Lepisosteus oculatus: one gene and its partners. The protein of the gene in region 1 purifies or fractionates together with the protein of each later gene. This does not show direct contact. Links are inferred from orthologs where the notes say so. Each region holds a gene or a part of one and is shown on either strand. Other genes may lie near its edges. The genes, in order: srpk2, clasrp, ddx46 and srrm1.

Region 1 (7,507 bases):
GAGCAAGAGCAGAGGAAACGATATGATCAAAGGGGAAAACACATGGGAGTAGAACACTAGTTCGAGCTTCTGCGCAAGAAAACAGGGAATCGTGAATCCGCATAATTTAATTCACCCTGGCGTGCCGCTTGGGAAACAAGTTCTGAATAGACAGAACTTTATATTCCGAAAGGGATGCCATCCCACATCCACAACACACTTCCAAGAAAATAATTGCCCATAGATAGGTTTGCGAGAAAACCTGAGTGAACTCGTCTTTGCGGTTAATTAACACTTATTACGTGCACAAGCTAAACGAATGCCAACTCCTGTGAGCTGGGACACGGCTATGTGCCCGTGCTACACAGACACTTCAGAATCAAGCAGTTCCTTTTTTTGGGGTCCTCCTGAAGCTTTATTTTTTGCCCATTTTTTCCGGTTGAAAGTTTTAAAAGCCACCTGGCAGGTATCCACTCTTGGAGACTCACCGAGGGGCAGTTTAAAGAAAGGCAAGCGCGCTCGGACCACCAGGACATCGATGACAGCAGCAGACGGCCTCTCCCCCCCCGTCCAGGCCCTGGCCTCCTGGTCACCTACACCTGCCCCCCACACACACACACACACACTCTGCAGTGTCACAGGCGGCTCACTCACCCCGAGCCCCGCTCCCATCCCAGGGGGTGGCGCGCAGGAGGGAAGGAGCTGGCTGGCGCGGGGTGTGGGCGCGCCGGCCCGTGCAGGAAAGACAACTGGACCGGAGCTACAAAGCGCGTCTTTGCAAGAGTTGGTTTCAGAAGGGGTGTAGAGTGTGAGCATGTGTGTGTGGGGGGGTACCGACTGAGAATAATAAGAAGAATAATTCCTCACACTTATATAGCGCTCTTCTGGACACTCCACTCAAAGCGCTTTACAGGTAATGGGGATCCCCTCCACCTCCACCAGTGTGCAGCCCCACCTGGATGATGTGACGGCAGCCATAGTGCGCCAGAACGCTCCCCACACACCAGCTCTCAGTGGGGAGGAGAGCAGAGTGGTGAAGCCAGTTCACAGATGGGGATTATTAGGAGGCCACGACTGGTTAGGGCCAGGGGGAAAATTGGCCAGGACACCGGGGTTACACCCCTACTCTTTTTGAGAAACGCCCTGGGATTTTTAATGACCACAGAGAGTCAGGACCTCGGTTTTTCATGACAGTTCATAACAGGAGAGGAATTTTGTTTCTGTTCTTTAAGGGGAGTAAAGGGGACAACAGAGCAGCCCTGCTCCCTCGCTGCTCCCCGAGGGGGGAATTTCTGCAGGGCCCGCGGGGTTAGGGTTCCTGTCGAATTCTTCCTCCCACCCCGCTGAATCCACTTCGACGGGATTCAAAGAAATTCTCATGGCTTCTACACGTTTTTCGGGTTATCCCGCGCGAAATCAGGAAAGCTGGAGGCAAGCAGACAACCAACAAACAGGCAGATGAAGAGTTCAGGTCGGAGTTCACTTCAGGAGTCGAACTGACAGCCCCCGGGTCGCGCAGAGGCCCGAACAGCGAGGTTCCAGCGAGCAGGATTTGGGAGCCTCTGCACAGACAGACGCTGTGCCCAGGGATCCCGTTCACAAGCCCGTTCTGCCCCAGCCAGCGCCGTGTCAGCCCCGGGTGGGGGTGGGACGCCAGCTCATGACCATGACGTCACCCGGGCTCCCCTGCCCCGGTCCCGCGCGTGGCGGAGCCTCGAGCTGTGCGCGCGCGAGCAGAGCGCCTCTCGCCTCCAGCATCACATCGCTTCGGCACGGCGGCCAGGCGCTCTTGAACGCGGAAGCATTCAGAAACACGGGACCGGCACACCGCTAGAGCTGCTACGTTACCGTCGCTTGCGTATTCAGTGTTTTTTTTTCCGCCCCCACCCAGCCGGTTTTGGGTGAAACTCTCTCTCGCACCTCTCGCACCTCTCGCACCAACGATAGATGTCAACGTCAGTCAATTCTCGTCTTGCAGCAGCGGAGCCCTGTACACCCCACCCCCCTCTCCGAACCACCAGCAGGGCAGCAACTCGGCTCGGGGGCTCGAACTGCACATCACCTCACATCACAGCCCGGTCCGGCTCCAGCAGCCCAGCGCCCGGGCGAGGAGGTGGTCTGGGCGGGCTGGCACCAGCGGTAGACGCGGCACAGCCTGTCCCGCCGGCTCCAGAGCCACCGTCCTCCCCCCCCCCCCTTTGGGGCTGCGGATCGTTGCCAATAGCAACTTCCGACACCACGGCCGGGCAGCCCCGGGAAGAGGAGTCGGAGCCGCTACCCCGCTCCCTCCCTCGGCACCCAGGGCACCACGACACCCCCCCCGCTCCGCCATCGCGTCTGTGCGCCGAGTGTGCCAGTGTCAGCTCCCCCTCTCCCGCTGTCAGCGCTGTCAGAGGGGGCGCCTCCGCCGCCGCCCTGCAGCCCCGGACCGCTGCCTACCTCCGCTGATGGGCTGCCTTGTCCTTCTTCCCCTTCGGCCGCCGCTTGCGGGCCTGGATGGCCAGCACTGCGGTGGGGATCGCGGGAGGGCGACCCGGGAGCCAGGCAGAAGCAGGGGAGGGAGAGAGAGAGAGAGAGAGACGGACAGACAAGAGCGACACATCAGTTTGCCGGTTTCAAAAGCATCGCCCGCCCTCCGCACCGCCGCCACCACCGCCGTGTGGAGCGCACAAACACACCCGAGCCCCCCGAACCTGCCCCCCCAGCCCGGCCCAGGACGCCCGAGGCTTTGCGTAAGAAAGACAGCCGGTTACCCTTCCGAGAGCTCATGTTGGTATCCTTCTCCACCTCGGCGAAGGCGGCCGGGATCTCTCTCTCCGTCCGTCTCTCTCTTCCCTTCACCGCCTCTCTCGGGGATGCGCGCTCCCCCGGCCGTCGTCGGGAGGCGCGCACCCTCCTCCCAGCCAGACAGGGGGGACTCGGGGGCGCGCTCCGCTGTCAAGACCCAGCGTCGCGGGCGCGCGCAGGCTTACCTGAGCCGAGGCAGGTGCAGCGGGAGAGAGAGCAGCGGTTGGTTGTTTTGGGCGCGCGTCCCCGGCGCGAGGTGACGGGTGAGGTGATCGTTGTGGCCCGCAAAACAAAAACGATGACGCAGGCAGGTCAGTTACTCGTGGTAACGGCGACCCGCGCGCCGAACGGTTAGTCTCCGCGGTCCGAAAACAGCGGTTCACACCACAGTCTTGGATTTAACCGCAAAGTGAATATATGAAAAAAAAAAATAGAGCAGTATTCCCGTTTTGTGTTGCCATGTGATCTCCAATATTTACAAAAGGTCCCGTGCTCCGAGATTGTATTTCAATTAATGTAGCTCTGGAAGTCCAGGAACAATTGAAAATAAATGAATAAAGTGTAATGTGCTGTTTGTGATTAAAATATTGCGCGGTATTACTCTAATTTACTGCATCGTTGTGTTGAGGGCGGTGTATTGGATTTTTAATTTCTATAGTTCGTGAGAGTACAGCGGTGAGGACAGATTTTGAGGTGTAGTTGTGCTGAATCATTGTATACACTGCACGACCTGAACTAAGCTTAATAAAGGTCAGAGTAACAACACAATACAGTGAGGATTCAACGTCTGTCTTTTATCCGACAATAACTAGGAAGCCACGCACTGAGGGAATACTAGTTCTTGTGGTTTTAAAGAGATTCGAGCTCCCAAACAAAAGACATCCAAGAAGATTAACAGTTCTAATCCATCAAAAGGAGATACAATTGTTTCCTTTCTTTCCCATTCACTTTTCTTCCGCGGAAAGCTAACACAGAGTGCCAAAAGGCATACACTCTCCACATAAAGGCCTTTAAAAGTGTGTGGGAGTCTCTGAAATCGGGCATCTGTATTGTTTCAGGATTTATATTTATCATTTTGTTCTACCTTTTAAACCTTTAAACTTGTGGTCCTGACTAAGCTCTCATTATAGGGCAATTGTAAGAGCTGTGGACAAATTCGGTTCTGTGGCTGCACGATCCTGTCTCCTTCAAGTGCCTCTTTCCTTCAGTTGGTGAACCTGTTTCTACCTGCCGCCCTGTGTGTACCTGGGGCTGCTGGGACAAAATGGGAGCTGCACATCACCCAGGTGAGGCAGCACTTCAGGGGTGAAAGAAGTGGGTCTCTGCTTTGGGATGAAGAACTCAGCACACATGTAGTTGTATTTATTATTATTATTATTATTATTATTATTATTATTATTATTATTATTATTATTATTATTATTATTATTATTATTAAAAGGAGAAGAAGGGGTGTTTTGTTTCTTTTTGTTTTGTATCCCTCAGGCTACTTTAATGTAATGCCCATCTGAATAATCATCATCATCATCATCATCATCATCCTTATTATTATATTGTGCCTTTAACCGTATCTTTTCAAAGCACTTTAGGGGAACAGTAAAAAAACAGATAACACAAATGAAAACAGCAACAAAGGAGATAACAAAATTAGCACAAAGCAACACAAGGGATTAGAAATGCAGTAGAAGACGCCATTAGCAAACACAGACACCAATTCAATACAAGCCTTTCAATACAAGAAGGTTTTGAGTCTGGACTTCAGCATTGCTATCCTTGGGGATAGATTTCCAAAGCTGTGGGGCGTAGCAGAAGGACTTGTCAACTGTGGAGTGTAAACGCGCTTGGGGAAGAAAGGGGAGACCAGAATCAGATGAACGAAGATTTCGAGGTGGGGAGTAGGAAGATAATAAATCGGACAGGTACTGAGGTGCCAAGTCATGCAGAGCCCTCTAGGTGAGCAGGAGGATTTTGAAGTCGACACGAAACCTGCCAGGAAGCCAGTGCAAGGCCTCCAGGACAGGAGTAATGTGATCACTTGCACGCAACCAGGTCAAACTTCCAGGTGCTGAATTCTGGACATACCAAAGTATGTTTGGTGTGGATCTAGACACCTCAGTGAGTAGGGAGCTGCAGTTATCATTTCTGCAAAAAATGAATGTGTTAACCAGCTTTGCTGTTAATTTAGAGACAAAAAATAAAATGTGTTCTGGCAATATTTCTAAGATGGAAGAATGATATATTTACAATATTTTGCGCATGTATGTCAAAGGTCAACAACCCCAAATTCTTTTTTTTTTTTACTGAGATTCAAGCACAATGCCGTCCACATGTAGGGTTACTGAATTGGCCCTGGATACAGTAGTTGAGGTGCTGATAAGAATCACTTCAGTCTTGTTGCAGTTTAAATGAAGAAAACTTTGGGTCATCCAGTATTTTATGTCAGAGCTGCAATTAGAGAGCACAGAGACAGCTGCTTCAGTGTCATGTTTAGGCTGCACGTAGATTTGAGTATCCACTAGTTAAGAAATGATCATTCTGACCATGTGATTTTAAAAAGTGACCAAGCAAGAAGACCTAACTGCAAAACAGTAGGTAAAAATGCTGCATATTACAGTATAAATTGGTCCAGACATCAGTTGCTTTGGATAAGCACATTACTCAAGTGAATTAATAAAAATATTATTGTAGCATAGTGCAGGGTTATTACAATAGCCCGCTTTCCAGTCTTACTGCATTCTATTGTATTATTGCTGCCCACGGCAATTCGGCTATTAAAAATAATCATAATGTTGTCATGGAAAAAAATGACTTCATATCAGGCAATTCAGCAGAGCTAGTAATAACAGTTCAGACAAGGCGTGCACTCACTCGGTCCTTCCCTCATTGATAAGATGAAGCTGTGTAGCTCAGAATAATTCCTGAAAATGAGCTCAGATTGTGTAGTTTGGCTGAGCCACGTGGCATGAGTTTTCTGTCCCAGCCCAGCCAGTATTCCCTCTGTGCCAGGCCTCCTAGTTATTGTCGGATGAAACTGTGACCTGGGAGTGTTATCTGGTTGCAGTTCTGCACAGTGCTGTCCTCTCATAGGGTCATTCTGTCCACCACGTAAATGGCCTCTGTCCGGGGAAATTAGAAGTATTTAAATTTCCTCTAAAGGCTTTGACAGAAGTCCGTGCCGGGTCTTGTGGTAGACCCTATGCGATGCGGTAAGAGCTGGAGAAAACAGCAGGCGTGGTAAAAGGGAACACACAGGGGTTTAATAGTGCACAATAATAGTGACAGTCCGTGAGACAGTGAACGGGGGAGACAAAGAACGGCATCCAAATCAAAACAGGTCCAAAGGCAGGTCAGGGCACAGTCCGGGAGTCCAGCGGCGAGTAATCCATCCTGGGACACGACAAGGTTAAAATCCCTGGAAGGGGGGAACACACGGAGAGACAAGACACAGAGGTCCAAGGGTGACGGGGCGGGATCCTCCAGACCCCGGGCTCAGGAAGCGGGAGGTGTCGGGGATGAGGCCTGTGCCCTCAGGAGACGGATGTAGGGTATCCTGGTGCCAGGGGGCCCTCGTGACATCCGTACCCTAATGTTGAGCCCCGAGGACTGGAGGAGCTGGTCTTTAAGTAATACACATAACAAGATACACCTGGGGAGTTAGCAACAATTACAGGAACAATAACGAGTGGAGCGCCCTCTAGGGAGGGATGTCGGGCGTGACAACAAGTGGAAATACAGATGGAAGTGCATTGAACACAGAGAACTGAGAGTTATAACTTTCTTTACACAAAAGGTTGTGGGAGTATGGAGCAGGATATCCACCCATGTTTTTGAAGCTGATACCCTGGCTTCTTTCAGGAAACAGCTGGATGAGATCCTCGGATCAATTACCTACCTCTCGTTTGTAACCGTTCTTATGTTCGGGAGCTTCGTGAGACAAATACCACCAGACTTCACACGCCGCCTAACCCCCAGCCAGAGCGCATGAGCATGGACGTCATACGCACGATTGCATCAGCTCGGTCCGGCTGGATCAGACACACTCATCGTGCGATCCCAGCCCCTGCGCCCAGTGTGCTTGGTTTTTGTTTTTGGAGTTTCTTGGTAGTCGGCTGACTGAAGACTCTCCCCTGACACCCAGCTCAGAGAGGAAGCAGCCGGACCAGACCTGCGGCTGGGCAAGAACCGAAATGCCAGGGAATGGCAGAGGGGTTGCGGGTTCAGATCCCAAGTGGGGTGCTCCTGTCTTGCCCATGAATGAGGTACTTTGCTCACATCTGCTGTGTAAATGGGTCTTTAGGTCAGATGGTAAAATACATGAATAATGATGAATAATGAAAAGAGAGGGTTACTCAACTCCTTGGTATGTCTGTTGCTGGTATCCTTTGCTACCTGACCTCGGGGACTTTCTCACTACCTTGCATTAATAATAATAATAATAATTGCTTACATTTATAACGCGCTTTTCTGGACACTCCACTCAAAGCACTTTACAGGTAATGGGGACTCCCCTCCACCACCACCAGTGTGCAGCCCCACCTGGATGATGTGACGGCAGCCATAGTGCTCCAGTACACTCCCCACACACCAGCTCTCAGTGGGGAGGAGAGCAGAGTGATGAAGCCAGTTCAGAGAGGGGCATTATTAGGAGGTCTTGACTGGTAAGGACCAGGGGGAAATTTGGCCAGGACACCGGGGTTACACTCCTACTCTTTTTGAGAAACTCCCTGGGATTTTTAATGAC
Region 2 (7,517 bases), on another chromosome or scaffold:
AGGGAACTATTGTGGCCTAAGGCAAACAGGAGCAGAGAAGTACTCACATGTTCACTGGACTCTCGGCAGCCAGAGCCACAGCAGAGTCCAAGTGGATCTTGTACGCTCTCCCATGGACCTGCAGGAACTGGGCCGGGTCCTTTTTCTGAAATCACAAGACTCCGGTAACTCTCACAGTAGAGTATAACACTGCCAAACAACTCCCCAAGGGACAAGTGGAAACTAGGGGCTTAAGGGAAAAAAAGTTCCTGCTTTTGAATGTTCCTGAAATCCATTTTTTTTTTACACAGTAATGTTCCCGTTAATAATAATAATAATAATAATAATAATAATAATAATAATTGCTCACACTTATATAGCGCTTTTTCTGGACACTCCACTCAAAGCGCTTTACAGGTAATGGGGATCCCCTCCACCACCACCAAGCTAAGTGTACAACAGTACTACCTGCCGGGCATTACTGCACCCCCGCCAGTGCCTTCAGACGAGTCAGATTACATCACTCCCATGTGGTTAATTAATCATTTATCATCAATCTATCCCTGTTCTGCATAAACTACCCAACATGTTGCTTAATCAAACATTTGTCTGGTTGTTTTCTGAATGAAAGCCCCTGAGAAGACCAGGTGGAAAACACCAGCGCCTCGGGCAGGGGCAGGGCGAGCGCCAGCCGCGACCGGGCAGGGGCAGCTGGCCGCCCACAGGGCGGCTCCTGGGGGCCGCGGGCCAAGGCCCCGCTCCTCGGGCACGCCGACGGCTCGCTCACGATTTTCTCGTAGTACTCGCGCCGCCGCTCCGCCCGCCGCTTGTAATCCACCATCATGCCGCGCAGCTTGCGCTCATGCTTGCGGGCTTCGTGCCACATCCTGGCGCCGGGGCGGCCAAGCCCTGCTGCCGTGGAGACGGGAGGAGCCGGAGAGGCAGTCCGAGGGCAGCAGGAATCCCACAACACACCTGCACAGGGAGAAAGGATGCTGGGGGTGAAAAGGAGGCACAGTCTGCTGAGGGCCAAGGTGTTCTGGGCTCTGCCCCTGGGGCCACTGCAAGACAGCTGGCCGGGAGCAGGGGGTATTCATCTGCCCTCGGCCCAGGAGCCACAGGGCCTTGTCCAGGTCCTGAAATCAACCTCCTGTTCTCACAAATGTAGGCTTCCGGCAATAAGAGTTTACCGGTTCCTTAAAAGGTTGTAGCAGGGCGGAGCTGGTGGCTGCCCATGTGACCGCTATCACTTTTTAAGGGCTGCTTGCTCTTCACCGCTCTCCAGCCGCCCGCTCAGCCTTGCTCACGGCTTCTCGGGGGCTGAGCGGTTTCCCCTGGGGAATACAGCTGCCTACAATGGCGGCCGCACCCGGAGGAATGTGTCCGCGACACTCCTCATACTGCTCGCCTCTCTCCCTTCTCATGGGGGTTCCCGTCTAATCCCTGGCAAAACACACGAACGAAGCAGCGACACATCCAACACAGCCCCCGCGCAAGGGACTCTCCTAATCGCTCCTGTCCCTCCCTGATATGCAATCTCATCTACTGCTTTTGCTTAAAAATGGCATGATTAGAAACGCCTGCTTCGAATTCTTGCCCTAATAACATTTACTCACTTCGAACAGAAGTAATTTAAGGAATGCGGCGATAAATATTACAATTCCCCAACTGTTTATCTGTTTTTGTGGAATAAATAACAGCTGCGACCCCGGATCCCAATGGCGCCTGCACACGTACGAAATGTAGTCTTCTTCCTCCAACGTCTATGTTCCTTGAAAGGATTTTGGTTATGCTTGTCTGTAAGATATTTCGGGTCTTTCGATTTTTACCACCGGATATTCTTTGGTGTAAGATTTACAGAGTGCAATTAAATATATAAACACGTCGAACAGCCGTAACTGCACCCGAACTCCGATCGGGAGGCCATCACAACACACAGTCCTCCGGTATCCCGGCAACCACTTCCGAGGTCAAAGAGCAATGAGAGCGGAAGTGGAGGAAAGGGTGAACGGGAGTTGTGGTTTTAATATTTTTGGTGTATTTGAACAGAACTGCGGAGCTCGTTAATATTTTACCCTGCCTCCAAATGACACCAAACTGGTCCATTTCGGATATTATTGTGCACTCTAAGGAGAACATGACGTTATGCATCACATACCTGTGGCCACACGGATAGTAAATCACGGAATCACGCACACCCGCAGCCACGTGTCAGGCTGTTTCGTTGCGAAGCTGGACGCGGAAGCGAGCTCGTACAACCCGAGCTCCAGCAGGCGGCGGTGCAGGCTCTCGAACGAAAATGTATTGGAAGAATCTGTGTAAACAATCCGTTATGATATATTATTTCTCTTTCCCCTTTTGTCTTCTTTAATACTATTTAACCCGAAGCTTCAGTTAGATGTAGTTCTGTATTCTCCAGCACTGCGTGTTTGCAGCAGGAAACAGTACTGAACTCCGGAACAACACGACAAAGTCGGATTATGGGACACGAAGTTTATTCCATGCTGAAAAGAGGAGACAAGAAACACAACGTTTCGGCCGTGGAGGTGTGAGAAAGAGGATGGACTTTCTCTAAACGTTGTTTCTTTTCTTCCCTTTCCAGCATGGAATAAACCTTTACTTGTTCCCTTGCAGCCAACACATGCTGACGCAGCTCCCTACTTGAACTACTCACGGGACAAGACACGACAGTCTCCTGGGCTACGCCTTCTGTTTTTGTGTCTCTTTATTTTCTTAGCGGTATTTTCTCTTTCGCTGTGGCAGAATTGACGGGCGTGTTCTAAGCTACGGTTCCAGCCCTCGGTCTGTGGGGAAGTTTTAACACCCCTGGCTTTGCAGGAGCGCAGCGTCAGCTGGTGCCCGTCCCACCTGAGCACCAGCTCTAACCGATGACTTAACCGATCTGCTTCGTTGTTTAGATTTTTAACTTACTTCTTCGGTCAGTCCTGAGGGCCAAATACACCAAACTTCAAGTGTACTTTTCCCAGCAGCTTCAGGATACCGGCCTGTACGAAGGTTGGAACGACAGCGTATCAGACGGTTCGCCTTCTGCAGAGTCCAACTGGTCACATTCCAGGCAGCACACCGGAATCAGGGCTGTTCTGAAATTCACGCTCACTCTTGAGCAATCCCAGCCGTAGGACCTTCAAATGTCCCCAGTGTGGGCAGGGCCTTGGGTCAACAGCCCATGTGAAGTGCGGCCCCTCCTGTGGCACAGCACCCCCATTTGCAATACAGGGGTGCTGGTCTGGAATTTGAAGCAAGTGAGGAGAGAGTACCAGCACACTTCAGGCACTGCTGTACCCCCCCGCCTGCTCTGCGTGGATTTAATAATAACAAATTCTTTACACTTCTATAGCCTCCAGTCAAAGCACTTTACAGGTAATGGGGACTCCTCTTTATCAGTGTGCAGCCCCACTTGGATGATGCACCAGTCCGCTCCCCACACACCAGCTCTCAGTGGGGAGGAGAGCAGAGTGATGATGCCAGTTCAGAGATGGGGATTATTAGGAGGCCATGACTGGTAAATGCCAGGGGGAAATTTGGCCAAGATGCCAGGATAACACCCCTACTCTTTTCGAGAAACGCCCTGGGATTTTTAATGACCACAGGAAGTTAGGACCATGCTTTTACATCTCATGGCGCCTTTTTACAGTCTAGTGTCCCCGTTGCTATACTGGGGCATTAGGACCCACACAGACTGCAGGATGAGCGCCCCCTGCTGGCCCTACTAACACTTCTTGCAGCAGCAGCCTTAGCTTTCCTCGGGAGTCAGTCCCCTCCAGGTACTGACCAGGCTCACACCTGCTGAGCTCCAGTGGGCTGCTGGCTGTGAGCTGCAGGGTGAATCAGCTGCCGCCTGGTCTGGCCCCTCGCTCTCTGCAGCGAGAGCAGCAGGTGTTTCTGGAGCCCCTGTCCAGAGCAGGTTCATCTGAGGGCCTGCGAGGACGTGACTCGGACTCCTGGCAGGCATCTGCAGGCAGACGCTTCCTGCACCTCCCTCAGGACGGGCGGAGAGAGGAAGTTCGCTCATCACCTTTCCTGGTCGGCAGGGAAACCCCTCGCTGCCCACGTCACCTGGACCCCAGGCACTGCCAGCAAGGGCAGGGGTCATTGTAGAAACTCCCTTACAAACTATACCATGACTTAATGACTCATCTGTAGAGGTCTTAGGGAGCAAATTCTTTGGAAACATTGCGCCTTAGTACACCCCCTCGTGCTTCACTGAGCTTTACTGAACAGTTTTTAGCAGGACGAACCACAGGAAACAGCAGTAAGACCTGTCCCCCCATGGTTAAGTTGTTTTAGTGAAGAAAGAGTTCTCCAAAAATAATATATGTAGTGATACAGGCCTTTGTAGGTGTAACCGCCAAAAAAACAAGTGCTTTTTATTTCCTTCTGGCAGTACAAGGGATGCTTGGCAGAAGACAAAGCATAAACAAGGATTTAAGTGAGTCAGTACAAGCACTTCAATTAGTAAGGCCCAGAAGCAGATTGAACTGGTGCTGCTTAGGAAAAGCTTGTCTGTGGCTGGTGCCCCGCCACCTGCTTTTTCCATCTTCCTTGTAGTTAACCCTGGCCAGGGTCCAGGGCTCTCCACTGTGGTTCCCCGTAGTTCACAGCAGCAGCCTGGAGTCTCTCTCGCTCTGTCAGCATGGGGTTGGGGAGATGCCCCCCTGGGGTGGCCTGTCGGGGTCCCAGCACACACAGACACAGGCTGCACTCTTGGTGTTAAACAAGTTTTAATTACTGTTCGCACCGGTTGGCCATCACGAGAGACACAAGGAAAAAGGGCAGAGATGAACCAAAAACTCTCAAAGATTTCACGGTACAAAAATGGTCAATAAAAGACAAAATATAAATATGTACACTATATACAGCTGAACTATTTACAGACAAGTACAAAAATCATACATCTTTTACAAGCATGAACGTGCCGCCTCAAAGGGGACAATATCCTTTTGTCATCTACTAACTACCAAACGAGCTGGATGAGCTAGATTATTTTCCCTTATTAGTAACCTTTCTAGGTTGCTTTTTGCCATTGTCTTCAGCTCCTAAGGGCATTTTCCCAAGGGCAATGGGGTCCTCAGGTTGTCATTCCATCTGAGCAGATAATTAGTTAATTGAACCACTAATTTTTCACTTAACTGAGCGCTTATCCCCAGGCCTAAAGAGAAATAGCAAACCACTGAAACACAGACCAGAAGACACAAGTGGAGCCTATGTGGACCTGGATTTGAAACCGAAAACAGCAGGCGCTTCTTTACGAATTGTGGGAGTGTGGAACAAGCTTCCAGCCACTGACATAGACGCTACCCTGGCTTCCTTCAAGGAACTGCTGGATAAGATCCTCAGGTTAGCTACTAACTTCCAAACAGGCTGGATGAGCTGAGTGGCTCCTCCTGTTTGTGACCAACCTCATATTCTTAACCCCTCAGGGACTGTGGCTCCTTGAGAAACAGAGCTGAGGAACAATCGCAGAAAACCTCCATCAGACAGGACTAAATCACCTCCCCGTTCTCCACCCCACAGCCTCTCAGGGAAGGGGTCAGTCAAACTGGCCAGTGTGTACTGTCCAGCTGTGGTCAAGAGGTCTGTCCTCCAGCCTGTCTTTCCGACACTACAGAAATGTAACTCATGCCCCGATGCAATGAGCTCTTAAGACCCCCGATCAGTAACGCAATCTGGAAGCTGCACTTTGTTAATGTTGGGGTCCCCACTGCACCCCCCGTCACTTCCTCTTCTCTCAGGCGGGGTCACAGGCCCTGTTCAGTGGGACCATAGCCCAGTTCTGGTTCAGAACCTCCAGGGGTCTGGTGAAAGTGGGTGTACAGAGATACAGAGCAGGGAAGGGGTTATGGAGAGCCCACCTGTGCTCAGCAGGATTGGTGGAGGGCAACTGGTCTGGCACAGTGGAGTCGTGTTTGGCCTAGGCTGTAGTTTGATCTGGTGGATGTCTATTGCAAAACCATATCTAACAAAAGTGGCCGAAATATTTCGTTCTCACGCTTTTGACTTATTTGTAAATTAAAATTCAAACGGATTACACACATGTGAAGTAGAGAGTGCTCTTTAGCTGTGTAAAGGGTATAGGAGGGACACATATAGGAGTTGCACTGCAATGTCAAGACACTTCTGACTCAGGTCTGCGCAGCACTGAACTATGTCCCCACAGGACTTTCTCTAGCTTTGCACATTCTCTCCAGAAGGCAAAACACATTGAACAAGACATTTAACAAGCAGAGTATGAATCAGATTTACTGATAACATTGCTGGATGTACTGTATAGATTTCTCTACCCACGCAACAGCTGCTCAGAAGCTTTTATACGAACACCAGGTGCAGCTCTATCGTTAAAGGACCTGTCAAAACACACACATATACACAATATTGCCTTCATTGACATGAGAAACAAACAAAAAAAAAACAACACAATACTTTATTCTTCCAATAAAGGAAATGCGATTAGTTTAACAGCTGGAATGAGAAGTTCAATGCTGACCCTCACATCACTGCCTCCATCAAAAGGAAGGAACCTTCATAGTGGCAACAGGGCAGAGCAGGTGCACCGATACCCAGACACGCCAAAGAGAGGCCTTCTTCTCTCAGGCTCTCAGGCTCTCAGGCTTATGTCAAGAGTTCCAACTCAGGGGGAAAATGCCACAAGGGTTGAGGTGTGGGAGTCAACAGAGCTGTGCAGCAGTTCGCCCCCTCTTGGGCAATCAAGGCTCACGATCTCCAGCCTCCTCAGCAGCCAAACCCTTCACTCCCTTCCCTCGGGGGCCTAGCAAGGCCTGCAAAGCCTGGGAGCACGGGTGGCCGCAGTGGCAGACGGACAGAAGCCGACAGGCGGGGCGGGCCTCACACTTCCACCTCCTGGCTGTCGGAGAAGTGGAAGCGGTTGAGTTTCTCGCGCTCCCGGTTGGAGATGTCGAGCTTGGCGCTGCTCCTCCTGGGCTTCTTGGTTTCTGGGGTGGGCGGCAGGCTCAGCTCAATCTCCTCACGACAGCGGGGCACTGGGGGAGGGCCGCCCAGGTTCCGGATGAGGGTGACGCACTCCCGCTGGTTATTGATGCCCTCGTCCTGCCCGGCGTGCTGGCGCTCCTTCCTGCGCCTCCGGAGCTGAGCCAGCAGGTAGATGCACAGCGTCGTTCCCACTACCAACATGGCCAGCAGGACGACCATCACCACGTACAGAGTGCTCCCGGAGCCTGGCACGGCAGAGGCGCAGAGAGCACCGTCAGGCACAGGCACACACAACCCCCGGTGCCCACAGCCAGACTCCCACACAGAGACAGAGGTGACACCCACACAGGCCGATACACACAACCAACACCCACAGGCCAATATACACACAATTAACGCACACAGGTGATACACACACACTATTAACACACACAGGCGATACACACACAGCTAACACACGCAGGCCGATGCACACACAATCAACACACACAGGCCGATACGCACAATCAACACACACAGGCGATACACACACAGCTAACACACGCAGGCCGATGCACACACAATCAACA
Region 3 (7,809 bases), on another chromosome or scaffold:
TACCTTTTCTTCCTCTTTTTCTTCTTTTATTTTCTTTTTCTCCACAGACGGCTCTGTGCTATCAGACTTCTCCTTACTCTTTGACCTGCAAGAAAAACAGACAGTCTTTCAATGCTGGGCTTGGTACTGAAGCTAGAAATAACTGGAAGACGTCCTATTTTCTTAACGTGTGCTTAGTGTGCAGTACCTTTACTGCATTCTTTCCGATATTTATGGTTTTTGAATGAAACTTTATTTAAAAAGACCTATGCCATTTTTCATAATAGGCGCTGGTTTGAAAAAGAACAATCTGATCCTCGAGTCCTACCCTTCGTCAGTCTTCCTGCTCTTGCTGGGGCTTGAGGAACGTGACCTCCGGCCCCGTGTCCTGCTACAAGACCTCCTCCTGTCTCGGCTGCGGGATCGCCGCCTTTCCCGACTCCTGGAGCGCCTGCAACACACAGAGAAGGAGAGCGCGACTGTCAGAGAGCCTCGCTGCCCCCCGAAAGAGGGGGGGACACGTCAGAGCCGCCCAAAACGATACTTTTCTCTCTACAGACTGGAACTGTCTTGTCATTCACTAACATCATTTTAGGACAAGCTTCTTACAGCTTACTAACTCGCACTCCAAATTCAAAAGAAAGGTGAAAGAAGGACTGAAAGAATCATAATTTAACAGTATCATAAGAGTCTTAAGAATATTGTGTCACCGACTACAGAGAATAATAAACCTAAGCCTTTGAGAGCTCGGAAATGTTTTGGCATTTCAGACAGGGAGACCGTGGCTTGAAGGCCCTGCTTGTCCCAGTGCAGTCACCCACCTCGGACGCTTCCTGTCCCGGGATCGGGAGCGGCGCCGATCACGGCTGCGGGAGCGCTCTCGCCTGCGTTCCCGGTCCCGGCTGCGGGAGCGAGCCCTTTCCTCTCGCTTCGACCTCTTCTCCGGAGACCGGCTCCTGGAGCGGCTGCCGGACCGCCCCCTCGAAGCCGAGTGCTTGCGGTAGTGCCTGGGAAAGACGTTTCACACGCATTGACTGACCCGCTTCATCACATCCCCCTCGGTTCCCCTCATAACTATCTCCAGGTGGCAGTATTATATCTAAGGAACAAGTAATAGTTTTATTCCATGCTGAAAAAAAGAAGAAAGAACACAATGGTTTGGCCGTGGAGCCTTCTTCAGGTGAAGAAGGCTCCATGGCTGAACCATTGTGTTCTCTTTCTTCTTTTTTTCAGCATGGAATAAATCTATTACTTGTTCCTTTGCAGCCTACGCATGCTGACGCAGCTCCCCACCTGAAGTATTATATCTTTATATTAATACATATATAATATAATATATATATATAAAATCCATCATTCTCTTTCCTAAGCACTTCTTCCAAATCAGGGTTGCAGGGGAGCCAAAGGGTATCCCAGCAAGCAACGGGCACAAGGCAGGATACACCCTGAATTGGACGCCAGTCCATCACAAGGCACACACTCAGACCAGGGTTGAATTTCCCAGAAGCCCCTATCTACCAGTTATGTTTGTGGACTATTGGAGGAAACCCACACAAATACAGGTAGAACACTTAAACTCCACACAGATAGCAGCCCAAGTCCAGAATTGAACCCAGGGTCACAGCACTATGAGGCAGTAATGCTGACCACTGCACCATCAAGCCAGACAGTATTATTATTAAACCTTTATATAACCAAACACCCAGCTGAGAATTTCTCAATCTCAATGATGGCCTGGCCAAGAGGAGGCATAAATCATTGCAGCATAGCAAGCAATAAGGAAATATCATATGAATTTTCAATTTTAAAAAAAGAACTTAATTTCTTACATTGTTCCAGGATCATGAATGAATTTGATATAATCAACACCTTTTCATGATTTTGAACACCTAAATCAAGTACCCCGCATACTCTACGCTGATCAAAGCTAATAAAATAAAATATCTTGACCCTTTCAGGTACAACTCCTTAAGAACAGGAATAAGTGTGATTGCTCCCACCAAGAGTGACAATATCTGTTGTAGTTTGGTGACCAAAGCTGAAACCAAAAGAAATCTAACTAATGCACTGTATACCCAGAGGCATTAAAAAGATAACAAATGTTACGGTTTCTAATAAAAATAATTGTACAATCTTAATAGCCAAAACGTAATTTTTAATGCATTCACAGTGTCTAGCTGAAGAAAGTGGCAAGTCACCATTTATCTCGTATTCCTTCCACTACAATAACTTCAAGTTTCCACAGATACGTGCACGTATGCACAATGAAGTAAAATTCCAACACCATTTATTTTTCTGTCTTTGGGTTGATTTAATATAAATTCTCATTCCCTGTAAAGCGCTTTGAGTGGAGTGTCCAGAAAAGAGCTAAATAAATGCAAGCAATTAAATTAAATGCTCAGCGGTTAAATTCAGATCTAGCTGAATGTCTACTTACAAAGATAACATGACAACAAAGCTCATCTACCTTTGGACTACGAAAACAATACAATATAAAGGAGAACCGTGATTTTGATTTTAGAATGTTGTGCTGGGGCTTTCACTCTAATTGTATCGTTCGGTTTGAAGTTCAAGCAATAACCTCATAAATATTGTACGTATTCATTAGCACAACTCTAATCCGATTAGCAAATTCTCAGCTACCACATTCTCTAGCAGCCTGAAACGTTACCTCAGATATCTACAATATAACGTTTTAGAATATATAAAATAATTTGATTTAATAACGCCGCGAACACTTTGATGGAGGGAAAGCAGGTTTAATTTTGAAGCGCTACATATTTTCTTCCCATGTGCGGCCTAAGGCGATCTTTATAAAAAGGCGTACGAATCTGCAGTGACTAAACTTTTCGATGTAAAAATATTCAGATGGTAATAATAAAGACGAACAATGCACACATACCTCGACTCTCTACCCATCTTCTCGTTGTTTTTCTAAGGAAATCAGTAGGTATTGTTCAATTTTGAACTCACTCTTCTTCAGCGCTTTCGTGGTAAATCCCAAACTTCTCTGCGAACCAATAAATGGCCAACATTCAAGATCGTACTTCCGTAATGTTCTCTCTTCCTCCATCCAAACAGCACCCCCCAGCGGCTGGAAGAACCAAATTCATATTGATACCTCCGAAAGAAGACGATCAAAATCCAGTTTCTACTGTTGAACATTTGCCTGCTTTAACTGTACTGTATATTGTATAAAGCTGCACACCGTGATATGTCCTGACCTTAGGAACAGTAAAAACGCTAAACGTCAACAAGATTGTGTTAAGGGTATGTGTGCTGAGAGCTGGGAATGCATAGCGTTGAATTGCTGTCTCACAAGAATCAAGATCTGCACTCACCTTTATTATAAAAGAAATAACGTATCAAATGAAATATGCCATCGCAATTCACTAAATATTCACACCCAGATCATCTATATTCAAACCATTCATGTCCCCTTTATTGTCCACATGAGATACTTAAGGAAATCAAGTTCCAGTGAAAAGAAAACTACAATACGTGACTTAAAATCGAAAAAGTATTTCCCAAATTAAAATGAACAGCTTTTTCTTTGGGAAAACGGAAAGCCGTGTAAAGAAATGTGCTCACCCAATGATTCAAGCTGTCCCTCCAAACAATATATTTGTAAAAATTCTCCTTTTAGCACTTCAAGAAAAAAAGCTTTAGTTCCGTCTTTGATATTTTATTAATTTGTTCAGTTTTCAGTAGTTTTTCCACATTTCAGCAGTAAATGCATCTCACCCAGATGTACAATTTAAATTATGACCAATACATCAATTACACTGTTATGGGTTGATAATCTGGATGATGTATAACCTGGTACATCATAGTTTAAAATTAAAGACCTAAAAAGAATTGCTCTTTAAATTTTAATAACAAAATGGCAGTCAACATTTTTTACCTTGTTTTGTCAAGACAGGGAGGTGATACAATAAAAAAACAAGTATGTGTGGTTACAACATTTAAATGACGGACGAAATAATTTATTGTTAATTTAACCTAAGCATGCCACTAAGACATGGGAGTAGGTCACAGTTCACACAGGTGGCACAGGCAAACATGGAATTTAGCCCATATATACTCTTGCTTGCCCAAACTTTACCACATTCAGAGTACAAAACCACCGATGCATACTGCATGTGTTAAAATGCATGTGTTTTCGGTGTTTACGATGATGTTTCCCTCTTTAAAATAAAATGAACTTTTCACTTGATGCCAATTTAACCAAAAGTACTCATTGACCTCCAAGTAAAAGATGCTTATTTATCATTAACCACAGTTAATTGAAATATCACAGTTGTGATTATTGTAAGCCACTTAAATTGCTGGCGTGGGGATGTCCCACTTAATCAGTGGTGAAAATAAACACAAAACTATTCAAATTAAATGAGATCTAGGTTTGATGATCAGTATCACCTGTGAACTCAATTTTAATGATTAATGAGGCAAAGCACTCAGTGGCTGGGAAGTTAAGGTTAAAACAGCCTTGTTTCACAATAAGCAGAGGTTCCATGTTTTTAACCAAGAAATGGCTAATGACAAATTTAAAGGGACAAAAAAACAAACATTTAAAATCCGGTAACAGTGAACAACCAACACCAAAAATTCAAATACAGCACACAGCTCATACCCTGTTTTCATATTTGGGTACAGAATTGTTAACCCTTGACTTTGTTTCTGCAGTGCACTTCACAGCATTTTGTGCTACTGCATTACTTTCCACCAACATGTTCTTGAGAAGAAGGAGTATAAAGTTTTTAGCTTAAGTGGATATATAAATTCCATAAATTAAAAAAAAGGTTACTAGCAGCAAAATCAAAAGTCAGCTAAATCCAAAAATACACAATGCAGAATAATAAAAAAAAAAATCCTTCAACTATAAGAAACTGGACCCCTTGCTTCTGACCAGAGCGCAAGTAAAACCTAACCATCAGTACATATGGACTGCGGTGCTGTCTTCAGCTACTAGTAAGACAAGCAGAAATTCTGTTATTTCCTGCAATGGTATGGTAGTGCAGAAGACATTTTGCTAACCGTGACCAGGTTAGCGCTCAGGACCAGATCTTTCAAGGACCGGCAGTGTCCATATGTCCATCTTTCCCTGATAGTCAAGGGCCGGACAAGAGGCGGGAAGCGTTGGGAATGTAAGGGGAACAGGGAGGAGGGGTTTCGATTTTATTTCTTCCAAAGCATGGAAGAGCGGAGGGGGGGAGGGGTAAACCAAACATCAGGGAATTTCAGAACCCAGAAGGATGAGGATCTCGTGACACACAATGAACGTGAAGAAATAGACACACAGATCTGTGAAGACGTCCCCCATTTTGCTATAAGTGTCCATGGAACGGTTGATGACCTCTGCGGGGATCCCTGATAGCAGCAGAGCAGCAGTCAACACTGTAGTCTTCATCTTCTTCTCACTCTGAAAGTAAAGAGGACAGAGAATCTATTCACCTTTCTGCAACCAAGAATCCTCAAAGTCACCCCAAGAAAAACAGCTGATTTCTAAAACTCAAGTTGTTGAAGAAGGGGCAGGGTCAGCACTGCTGCTTTGTTTCACTGGGGCCCTGGGTTTAATTCTGGACCTGGGGTGCTATCTGTGTGAATTTTGTATGATCTCCCCCATATTTGTGTGGGTTTCCTCCGGATGCTCTGGTTTCCTCCCACAGTCTGAAGACATACTGGTAGGTTAACTGGATTTTGGAAAATTTGGATCTGGTGTGAGTGTTTGCATACATGTGTCTGTGTGTCAGTGCAATGGACTGGCGTCCCATCCAGGATGCACCCTGTCTTCTGGGACTGGGCTCTGCCTCCCCCACAACCCTGAACTGGAAGAAGCCATTAGAAAATGAATGGATGGATGTTGTTCAATATGGATATCTTATTAAGCAGCTCTTCTATATGGTTTCCTCTCATTTCTGTCCTGCCTAGTAGCCCACGTTTTAAATTAAATCATGAAATATTTGTTCCAATTAAATGTTTTGTGTGCTTTTACAAAAACTACTGCTGATCAAATATACTTTGCTTTTCAAGCCTGTTAAAAATAGTTTCAATGGGAAAAACACTACAAAAAGGACTGTTCTTTCATCATTTTAGATCTGTGTGCTGAAAAGCACAATGCAGGAATATAATTCATAAAACAATACATTTTCCCTGAATTATAAACGCAATACACTTTTCTTGCAAAAAGGGATATAGTATTCTGTTTTCAAAAGCAAATTAATACAGAGCCTAATATCTTACCTACAAACAACCTCTCTTCAAAACCGACACACTCACCTTTGGAAAATACTTGTACAAGCCCATATATGCCAGCTGGAGGGTAAGAAATGGGGCAAATATTGACTGCAAATAAGAGAACAAGAAACCTTTGTTACAACATAATGTCATAAAACCAGTCAACCCACAGCTCACTACTGCAGCTGATTTCCAGAACTTCAAAGCCCTGTCTGAAGAAGGTGGGCAGTCATGAGTTAGTCAGATAGCAGAAGAGCTGTGCTCTAAATAGGAACTCCCAGTGGTGTGATATTAAGCTTAACTACATTATTTTTTGTTGAGAAGCAGACATGAATTCCACCATGCTATACTGGTGTTCGGTCCTGAATAAGTCAACACTCAAGCTCTGACATTTTTAATGCCTCAAGGGTGAAGATAAAATTAAGTTAGGGCATTTTGTCTTCATCAGGGCAACATTACAGTTCTTAATATCTAAATACATAATAAATAATACTTGCACTTATATAGTGCTTTTCTGGACACTCAAACCTTTTTTCAGGTAATGAGGACTCCCCTCCACCACCACCAATGTGCAGCACCACTTGGATGATGCGACAGCAGGTATAGTGCACCAGTACACTCACCACACACCAGCTATTAGTGGTGAGGCCACAACTACTGTTTTCTGAGAAAAACCCTGGGATTTTTAATGACCCTAAAGAGACAGGACCTTGGTTTTATGTCTCATCCAAAAGACAGTGCCTTTTTTTACAGTATAGTGTCCCCGTCACTATATTGGGGCATTAGGACCCACACAGACCGCAGGGTGAGCGTCCCCTACTGGTCCCATGAACACCTCTTCCAGCAGCAACCTTAGCTTTCCCAGCAGGTCTCCCATCCAGGTACTGACCAGGCTCACACCTGCTGAGCTTCAGTGGGTTGCCAGTGGTGAGCCGCAGGGTGTTAAGCCGAAAAACAGATCAAGCCCCAAACCAAAGTGAAGCTTGTTAGCTTTCCTGCAACCAGATCTTTACCAGCTGGAGAGGGAAAGTGATTAAATCAAACAAATCAAAGATCTGCGACACAGACATACCAAATACTTGCAGACAAAGACCCTGACAGTGATGGCTAACATCACGCTCCCGATGAGGCGGAAGACTCGGAAGGCATCTAGCTCCTCTGGGCCCGAGCCGTTTTCCTGAGCCGGCTTCTCGCTGATCAGCTGGCTGCGGAGCTTCATGGCCTCATCGAAGCGCGACAGGTACTGCTGCAGCCCGCGGCGGGGGGAGCGGGGGATGCCGTCGGAGGGGACGTCTGCCCGGGATCTCTGCCGCACCTCCCCAGCGCTTTCGCCCTCGCCGCTGCGGCCCGCGGGGTCCCTGCACTCCCGCAGGGGAGACCCCTGACGCTCAGGCACGTCGCCGTGGTGATTGCTCACCCCCATCTCACTCTGGAAGACTGGAAGTCTCTTGGATTGGGCGGACAGAGACCGCGGCTCTGCTCTGCCATGATCCAAGGGAACTCTGGGCTCCAACGTATGTCTGTCATCTTGTAGAAGATAAGGAATAAAATTATCAAACCACAAATTGGATTCTTTCAGAATGGGATGATAAA
Region 4 (6,842 bases), on another chromosome or scaffold:
ATGGCATCACGGAAAACGAATTTAGACTCCCTAGGGTGGAGATGCACCAGAACGTCTTTGTCCTCTATGCCACAGACACCGAGCCTGTTCCGGTGTCTGTGCACAGCTCCTCTTCCTTGGAGAACACATAACATCTCAGCAGCAAAGCTGGTGGAGCCGTGGAACAAGTCTGAAGTCTACTGGAACTGTGCAGTTTACTACGTTCTTAGGATACACACTCATAACTGAGCCAGTACTGAGCTGCTCGGTCCTCGGTCCTGTCCTTGAGAGCACTGCATTGGAAAACTCCCATGCTGTTTGGAAGGACGCAAACCAGACACTTAATAGAAGGCAAACAGGAGTTGAAATCTTTAAACCTGTGAGCAACAGGGCTAAAGTGCTATGATACTCTAGTGTTCACCAGCAGTGTTTCCATGGCTGTGTATCCAAGTGTTGTGCATACTAGTAGTCAATGAGTGTCGGACTCAGAAAGTGGCACCACAGAACTTTTCTAGGTTTTGTGAACTTTATTGTTCTCCTTTCTCTGATCTGTAAAAGCCCTCATTGTTAAAACGGATGTATGTAGACAGTGTGTGCAGTGTCTCGATTGGACCGCAATGCTACTGAGCTAAACAGTTTCCTTTTTGAAACCCAGAAGGCTTCAGCCCTAAGTTAGACCGTGGGTCTCCATCCCTGGTGCAGGGTTTTCTGGGTAACGACTGCAGTATGTCACAAACTTTGAAGAACCTAGAATAAATTAACTGTGATCTATTAAGCAAGACACGTGTTAAAAGTATTAACAAGTTAGCAAAGATTGTTTGGGTCAAAAACCTCCATTCAGCGCTGTTTGGAATCTGGTGTTTTTTTGCCACTCTTAGGTTAAGAAAGAGACCCTAAAATAAGTTTAGGATTCTGTTGTATCTCTTAGGCTTTGAAAAAAGGTTGGACACACAGGAGTGATTTGTTTCAGAATTATCTGCCTTAACGGAACAAATTACTTGCTTATTTCATCTATAACTTATAATTACCATATTAACATTCCAACAGTCCATCAGAAAACTGCTTATTCTTGTTCAGGGTCACAGCAAACTGGAGTCAATTCTGGAGTCACAGGGCCCAGGGTGGGACAACACCATGAACAGGCCTTCCCAATCCTTAGAAACAGGCGATTTAGGATTAGGGTTAGGTTAATAACCTGTAATTTACACTGTATTGGGGCACTCTGGAGGAAGGTTTAAGTCCTTTCATTCAGATGATGTTTAATCTGAGCCTTTTCAACAAAATCAAGGATTTTATCTCCTTTTTCTCCCCCCCCTGGCTGAAGCATTCTTTCCTGGTTGATGTTTTGTTCATTTTTTGTAATTGAAATGACCTTGATTTCCATGTAATAAAGCAAATCATGTCCTCTCTACTGTTTCTCAGGCCTGCGTTAGGCAGGTGACAATAGCCTGTAATAAAGTGCTTTAGAGGAAGTTCTGCATCTATATAGACCTTTATGTAGGATTTACGTTTTCAGTTTTTGTAATGAAATGGGAAACGTTTCAACCTGCTTTCCTGGTGAAAGTCTGGTGATCCTGATATTGTAAAAAATGACTTTACTTGCAATGCTTGCCGGTGTTTTGAAGAGGAAGGAAACTCATAGGTACAGTATAAGTAAACCTAAAATGAAAGCACATGGCTATAACTGTAAAAAGAACCTTTATACATCAATACAAGATGTTGCTTGTGATCAACTTGAGCCTGGAGATTTTTCTGACATGGTTATGTATCCAGAACTGCTCTCTGGCATCAAGAAATGTCACTAGACTGAATTATTCAATATTTACTGTATATGTATATATAATTGAAATCAATGTCTATGCAATGATAGTGTTACATGTTCCTATAACAGGCTGGATTTGATGTCGAGCAATTATGCTTGCTTTCTGCTGGTGTTGGAATAATAAGCCACAGTAAGAAGTTTTGTGTCCTAATTTTTAAGAAGAATAAATAAATGGAGCTTTTATTTAAAGTATGGCGTCCTCTCAGAAAACATATTGCTTTTATAATAAAGAAATTGCGTTATATTGTCATAAAAATTACACTTTACATATGTAACTGTCGTCCTAGAAGGCTTGATATCCCCACTTCCTTTGAAGAGAAACCTTGTCTTGCTTTGCATCAGCTTCCAATGCTATATTCCCGACTATATCGGTATTTCCCTTTTTTGTTTTACTGACATTTGAGAGATTTATCATTTGAACTATTAATCCAGACATCATAGCCCATGTATGATTTAGGGTAGATGCTTGACCTTATGTAAATGAAACTCCCAAAATGGCAGCACATGAGTGAGCCCTGCCCAGCTGGGTGGAGCTTGAGTGGCCAGCAGTTTCCCTGGTTGGTGCACAGGAGTAGCCCATGTGACTTACAGGTTGGCCAATGAGCTTTTTAGAGCTGTGACACTCCCCTCAAAGCTGGGTCTGAATGAGAAGTGGACAGCTCAGGATCAGTGCATGTTTCAGGGAGACAGAGATGGCCTCCTCTCCTCCATGCTAGTACAAAGGGTGGCGGAAATGAGCCATATTGACTAACCATCAGAGATTCCCAACAGGTTGGGGTGGAATATTTCAAATCTAACAAAAAATAATTCTAGTTATTGGCTAGATTTATAAGAGCTGAGGACTTCCAGTTAATCCTTTATTATTGGGGAAAACTACAATTGTTCAATGTCCAGGTAGGATCTCTGTACTCCACGGACTACAAAAAACATGGCTTTCCAAAATGAATTCCAAAATTCTTAACTCCTTTCCCCCCACATTTGTCTTTTTCTAGAAACAAAACATCCTGTCATTTAAAATCATGTGCTGTGTCTGGGTGATGTTAGACAAGTTATACCTGCTATAAAGTATGTGACAAAGCTCTGGATGATTATGTAAATACGGAAACCAATGTAGCATTAAAAGATTATTTTCTGTGGGAAGATTGAAGTCTGATTTAAACTCATGGAGGATCTGAGCAGTGAGGACACCTGGGTAAACATCAGGGGTTTCTGACAGCATCTGCTGCACTGGAACTGTATGACTGTGGAACCCAGAGTGTAGGCACAGACATACACAGAGGGAATCACGATTCATACGTCATCCCTCATCATTGGCATCGTCTTGTGAACCTGTTAATAAAAGATCTACCAATTTGCCATTAGTTCTGGAGCTCTGCTGCTACACCGTGACTCACACTGCTGCTCCGAGCTGTGAGGCTCATGGTCTTCAGGGAGTCCTCATCCCACTACAACACGATTTGATTGTTTTGTATATCATGATGCTGGAAAGTAATGCATCATCTTCAGCACATTGACAAGTTTGTAACACACTCAAAGCAGAGTGATTTTGTGTATGGAGCGCAAATAACCTTCACAGACCTGCCTGTTCATACCTGCATTGCTATCAGTCTGTTGAGGGTGAACTCATGGGAATATCGACATTTAGTTTTGTAAAAAAAAAATCACGTTTTGGAACATTTTAGTGATATTTGCAGTGAACCTTCCATCTGTCAAATAATAACTGTAACGGTGGTGTTATGGAGTCGTTTAGGCGTTCAACTTTAAAACAGCTGATGGCCACGTTTCAGAGCAATTGGCGCTCCTTGATAGGTTTGCCCGGGAGTTTTGGACTCTTGAGAGTTTTGTTTGGATTTGCAAACGACGGTGTTAAATGTGTTGAGGCGCCTTGAACCTGCTGTTTAAAAGTTCCGCGGAGAGCCGAGCTCCAGTGCCTGAGGTGTAAACGCATCAATAAAGTTACGCCGCCTGGTGGTTATTTATGGTCCTACACGAAGGGGGGGGGCTTCTTCCTGCATTGCATTGTGGGAGTCGTGGGCATTTTTCTTTCAGAGACACATTGCACATTTCGGCAGAAGATGGACGCGGGTTTTTTCCGCGTAAGTACATGTCTTCTTTTTGGCTAAAAAAAAAATGGAATTTCGAGTTTATTGTTCTCCTTATTGCAGCCTAGGCGTCCCCTCGGCTCGGTTTCCGGAGCCAAAAGCGTGGCTTATCCAGGAGCATTTTTTTTTTCCTTGTGTACTTCATGCGCCATCCCGGAGCAACGACATGCAATGGGAGAATAAAAATGGCGGCTGTATGTGAATTCAACCGGGGATCAAAATCATTCGTTGAAAATGAATTGGAATCTGTATTGTCTCGTGTTGTGTTGGGGGTGCAATTAATAAACGCGCACATCGTTTTTGAGGATGTTCTTTCTGTACTTGTTAATCTTTAAAAAAAAAAAACCTTCAGAGCCCGTGTAAGGCCTGTGTCGACAAGCAGTCAGCCAGGGTGCAGGGCTCGTTTGAATAGACTATGCCCAGATCCTTCAAACGTTGTGTTCGTGTGGCTGCGGAGAAATGTTGAGTTCAGGAGTTGTTGTTTTTTTCTTAATCTTGTGTGCTGGAAAAAAAAAACCCTCAGCGGCCTATAACGGAGAAGACAAAACGCGATCGGGTATTTAAGCGTCTTGACCTGTGCGGCAACGTCTACCGCGTCTTCTGGAGAAAAGACAACTTTCTCTGGCTTCGCCTCGCCGTGCCTGTTCGCTCCTTGGGGACTGAGGTGTTGGGAAGTGACGAGGGAAAGTCACCTTTGAAGTACACGCTCACATGTGGAGGAATATTGCTTGAGAGTCGTGTGATAACCTCGGGTTTTTTTTTAAAAAGCTGCTCTTAACCAAATCTGTCACGCCTCACGATGTGTGCGAAATGCTGACAGACCCAGTGAGTTTGGGGAGCTCAAACTTTTAAAAAAAAATGTAACTGGGCTCGTCCTTCACTAGTCATTGTCTTATACTGTTACCAGCAGCCTGAAGAGCTTTTCAACTTGATGGCCTTATTCAGAGATCCCTCCCGGAGTTTAGCAGATATTCTGGTTTAGTAAATGATATGGCTGCTACGAAGACTTGTAGGTTTCATTGTAACCTTTTGTTGTTAATAATAACAACAACAATTTCTTGCTTTAGGAATTTGTATTTTCACCTACCCCAGCTTGCTCTCCATGAGACACAGACAGGGAGAGAAGCTGGGGGTCATAGTGCAGGGTCAGCCGTTGTACAGCACCCCTGGAGCAGTTGGGGCCTTGCTCAGGGGCCCAGCGGAGTAGGATTTCTCTGCCGGCTGCGGGATTTGAACCGGCAACCTTCCAGCCACAGGCGCAGATCTTATCCTTAGATGAAATTGTTCATGTGAGCCTGTCCTGAAACCTAAAACCAGAGTCTTTCTGTATTTTCTTACCAGGGCACGAGTGCGGAGCAAGACAATCGCTTCAGCAACAAGCAGAAGAAACTTTTGAAACAGCTCAAATTTGCAGAATGTCTCGAGAAGAAGGTATGTGAGCATCTTCTAATTAATTGTTGTTTCAAAATATTCTTAGAGACCCAAAGGATCGTCCTTGGTCACCTGGGGTGTCTACTTGCGATAGGCTTGCAGTTATATATTGTTTTGCGGTTCTGATCAGAAAACAAGATTCAGTTTAGGCTGTGGACACAAGGTGTCCTCCAGTGTTTTTGAGTTTATTTTTGATTTTGTGGTAGGGTGACTGTTTTGTAGATGTGTGGCTAAATGTCAGCTTTCTTTTCAGGTGGATATGACCAAGGTGAACTTGGAAGTCATCAAACCATGGATAACTCAAAGAGTGACAGAGATTTTAGGGTTCGAGGACGATGTCGTCATCGAGTTCATTTTCAACCAGCTGGAGGAAAAGGTAACGCCGTCGAAACAGTTTCTTCTTCCTCAGATTCTTGTTTTGTAAAGCAGTGAACTAGTTCTTATTTTTTTGTGCAAGAGGCGGGTGGGTGGGTGTGAGAACTAGAGAAGAGTATTTTTTCTAGTTGAGAATTCACTTTTTATAATATAAATTTACTGCTCTAGGAGGTTTTGTTCTGACTGCTGAGGTGAAAGGAAATGAAGCTATATGTATTTGAAAGAAATGTTGCTGTTATATGTAACAAAGTGCCTTTGACAGCAGTTTTCTAATGATGATGTGATTTATGATTTAAAAGGCCTGAACCAATATGGATGTTATTCCTTGCGTCTGAAGTATAGCACCATCACCTAATTAGGTCACAGCAGAGTGAGTGTCCAATGTCGCTCTGACCCAACTCCCTTGATGATGCAGTGTGTGTTTGGAGGTGAGTTGTGTAAAGTGACCAAAAATTCCAGTGACGAGCACTTGGACAGATCCTTACACTGCTAAACCACCTACATTTACCTGTGGCTAGATATTTATAGATGGTAGCAGTATACCTTTTTAAAACCTGTATGCAGTATGCCTGAATTGTTTCCGGTTTGCTGTGTTCCAGTTATGATGGCTGATGGCGAAGACAGCCATCCTTTTTTTCCTCCTTCACTGTCGGGCATGGTGCATGGTGTAAAAAGAAATACTGCTATATTTATTGGTGAAAGGAAAAATACTACATTGAAAGTGGCCTGACTGCACTTTTGATGTCAGATTATTTAGACCTGCTGACAAGGTCTTTTAAAAAAAAAAAAAGTAGCAGTGATATTTATGATTCTTCACGTGTATGCAGACAAACTGATAATGTAGACATTGGTGTTCATTTGCCTAAAGTTGATCTAGCTCCTAGACCCTCTATATCTTGAGTTAATATGCCTTTTGTTTGACCTTTTGACTTTTTGTGTGAAAATAGGCACTGCTTTTTTGGTCCATATTGAGGTATGCTTAAGACTTGTTGATTTGCTTGCCAGGCAGAATAGCTTTTTTAAAAAAAAAAGTCAATGCAAACAGTATGTAAAGCCGATTGTTGACATTGGTTCAAAGTGTATTTTTTAAATCAGACGTAGGGTATTTGCCTTTTGTGAATGCTCAATATTAC

Evidence for each region.
Region 2: the proteins of srpk2 (region 1) and clasrp purify together in Homo sapiens (affinity purification with mass spectrometry; 3 studies listed by BioGRID and IntAct, with this or other methods). This does not show direct contact. The link is inferred for Lepisosteus oculatus from reciprocal best matches to the Homo sapiens genes SRPK2 and CLASRP.
Region 3: the proteins of srpk2 (region 1) and ddx46 purify together in Homo sapiens (affinity purification with mass spectrometry; 4 studies listed by BioGRID and IntAct, with this or other methods). This does not show direct contact. The link is inferred for Lepisosteus oculatus from reciprocal best matches to the Homo sapiens genes SRPK2 and DDX46.
Region 4: the proteins of srpk2 (region 1) and srrm1 purify together in Homo sapiens (affinity purification with mass spectrometry; 3 studies listed by BioGRID and IntAct, with this or other methods). This does not show direct contact. The link is inferred for Lepisosteus oculatus from reciprocal best matches to the Homo sapiens genes SRPK2 and SRRM1.

Annotation. Positions count from the first base shown.
Region 1 is NC_090702.1:48,123,527-48,131,033, reverse strand, and holds the start of srpk2 (SRSF protein kinase 2), read right to left. Parts: upstream 3,007-7,507; 5' UTR 2,749-3,006; coding exon 2,733-2,748; intron 2,486-2,732; coding exon 2,419-2,485; intron 1-2,418. UniProt on the Homo sapiens protein: Serine/arginine-rich protein-specific kinase which specifically phosphorylates its substrates at serine residues located in regions rich in arginine/serine dipeptides, known as RS domains and is involved in the phosphorylation of SR splicing factors and the regulation of splicing.
Region 2 is NC_090698.1:2,616,284-2,623,800, reverse strand, and holds the start of clasrp (CLK4-associating serine/arginine rich protein), read right to left. Parts: upstream 3,010-7,517; 5' UTR 2,911-3,009; intron 2,294-2,910; 5' UTR 2,178-2,293; exon of another isoform or gene 2,138-2,177; intron 1,929-2,137; exon of another isoform or gene 1,717-1,928; intron 1,701-1,716; exon of another isoform or gene 1,596-1,700; intron 955-1,595; 5' UTR 866-954; coding exon 767-865; intron 146-766; coding exon 48-145; intron 1-47. Other genes in the region: protein jagged-1b, read right to left, coding at 6,844-7,193. UniProt on the Homo sapiens protein: Probably functions as an alternative splicing regulator. May regulate the mRNA splicing of genes such as CLK1. May act by regulating members of the CLK kinase family.
Region 3 is NC_090706.1:23,721,486-23,729,294, forward strand, and holds the start of ddx46 (probable ATP-dependent RNA helicase DDX46), read right to left. Parts: upstream 3,020-7,809; 5' UTR 2,899-3,019; coding exon 2,882-2,898; intron 987-2,881; coding exon 801-986; intron 431-800; coding exon 308-430; intron 86-307; coding exon 1-85. Other genes in the region: guided entry of tail-anchored proteins factor CAMLG, read right to left, coding at 5,210-5,401, 6,259-6,324, 7,289-7,743. UniProt on the Homo sapiens protein: Component of the 17S U2 SnRNP complex of the spliceosome, a large ribonucleoprotein complex that removes introns from transcribed pre-mRNAs.
Region 4 is NC_090706.1:4,187,418-4,194,259, reverse strand, and holds the start of srrm1 (serine/arginine repetitive matrix protein 1), read left to right. Parts: upstream 1-3,828; 5' UTR 3,829-3,876; coding exon 3,877-3,897; intron 3,898-5,244; coding exon 5,245-5,334; intron 5,335-5,587; coding exon 5,588-5,710; intron 5,711-6,009; exon of another isoform or gene 6,010-6,137; intron 6,138-6,842. Other genes in the region: ncmap (noncompact myelin-associated protein), read left to right, coding at 1-131. UniProt on the Homo sapiens protein: Part of pre- and post-splicing multiprotein mRNP complexes. As a component of the minor spliceosome, involved in the splicing of U12-type introns in pre-mRNAs. Involved in numerous pre-mRNA processing events.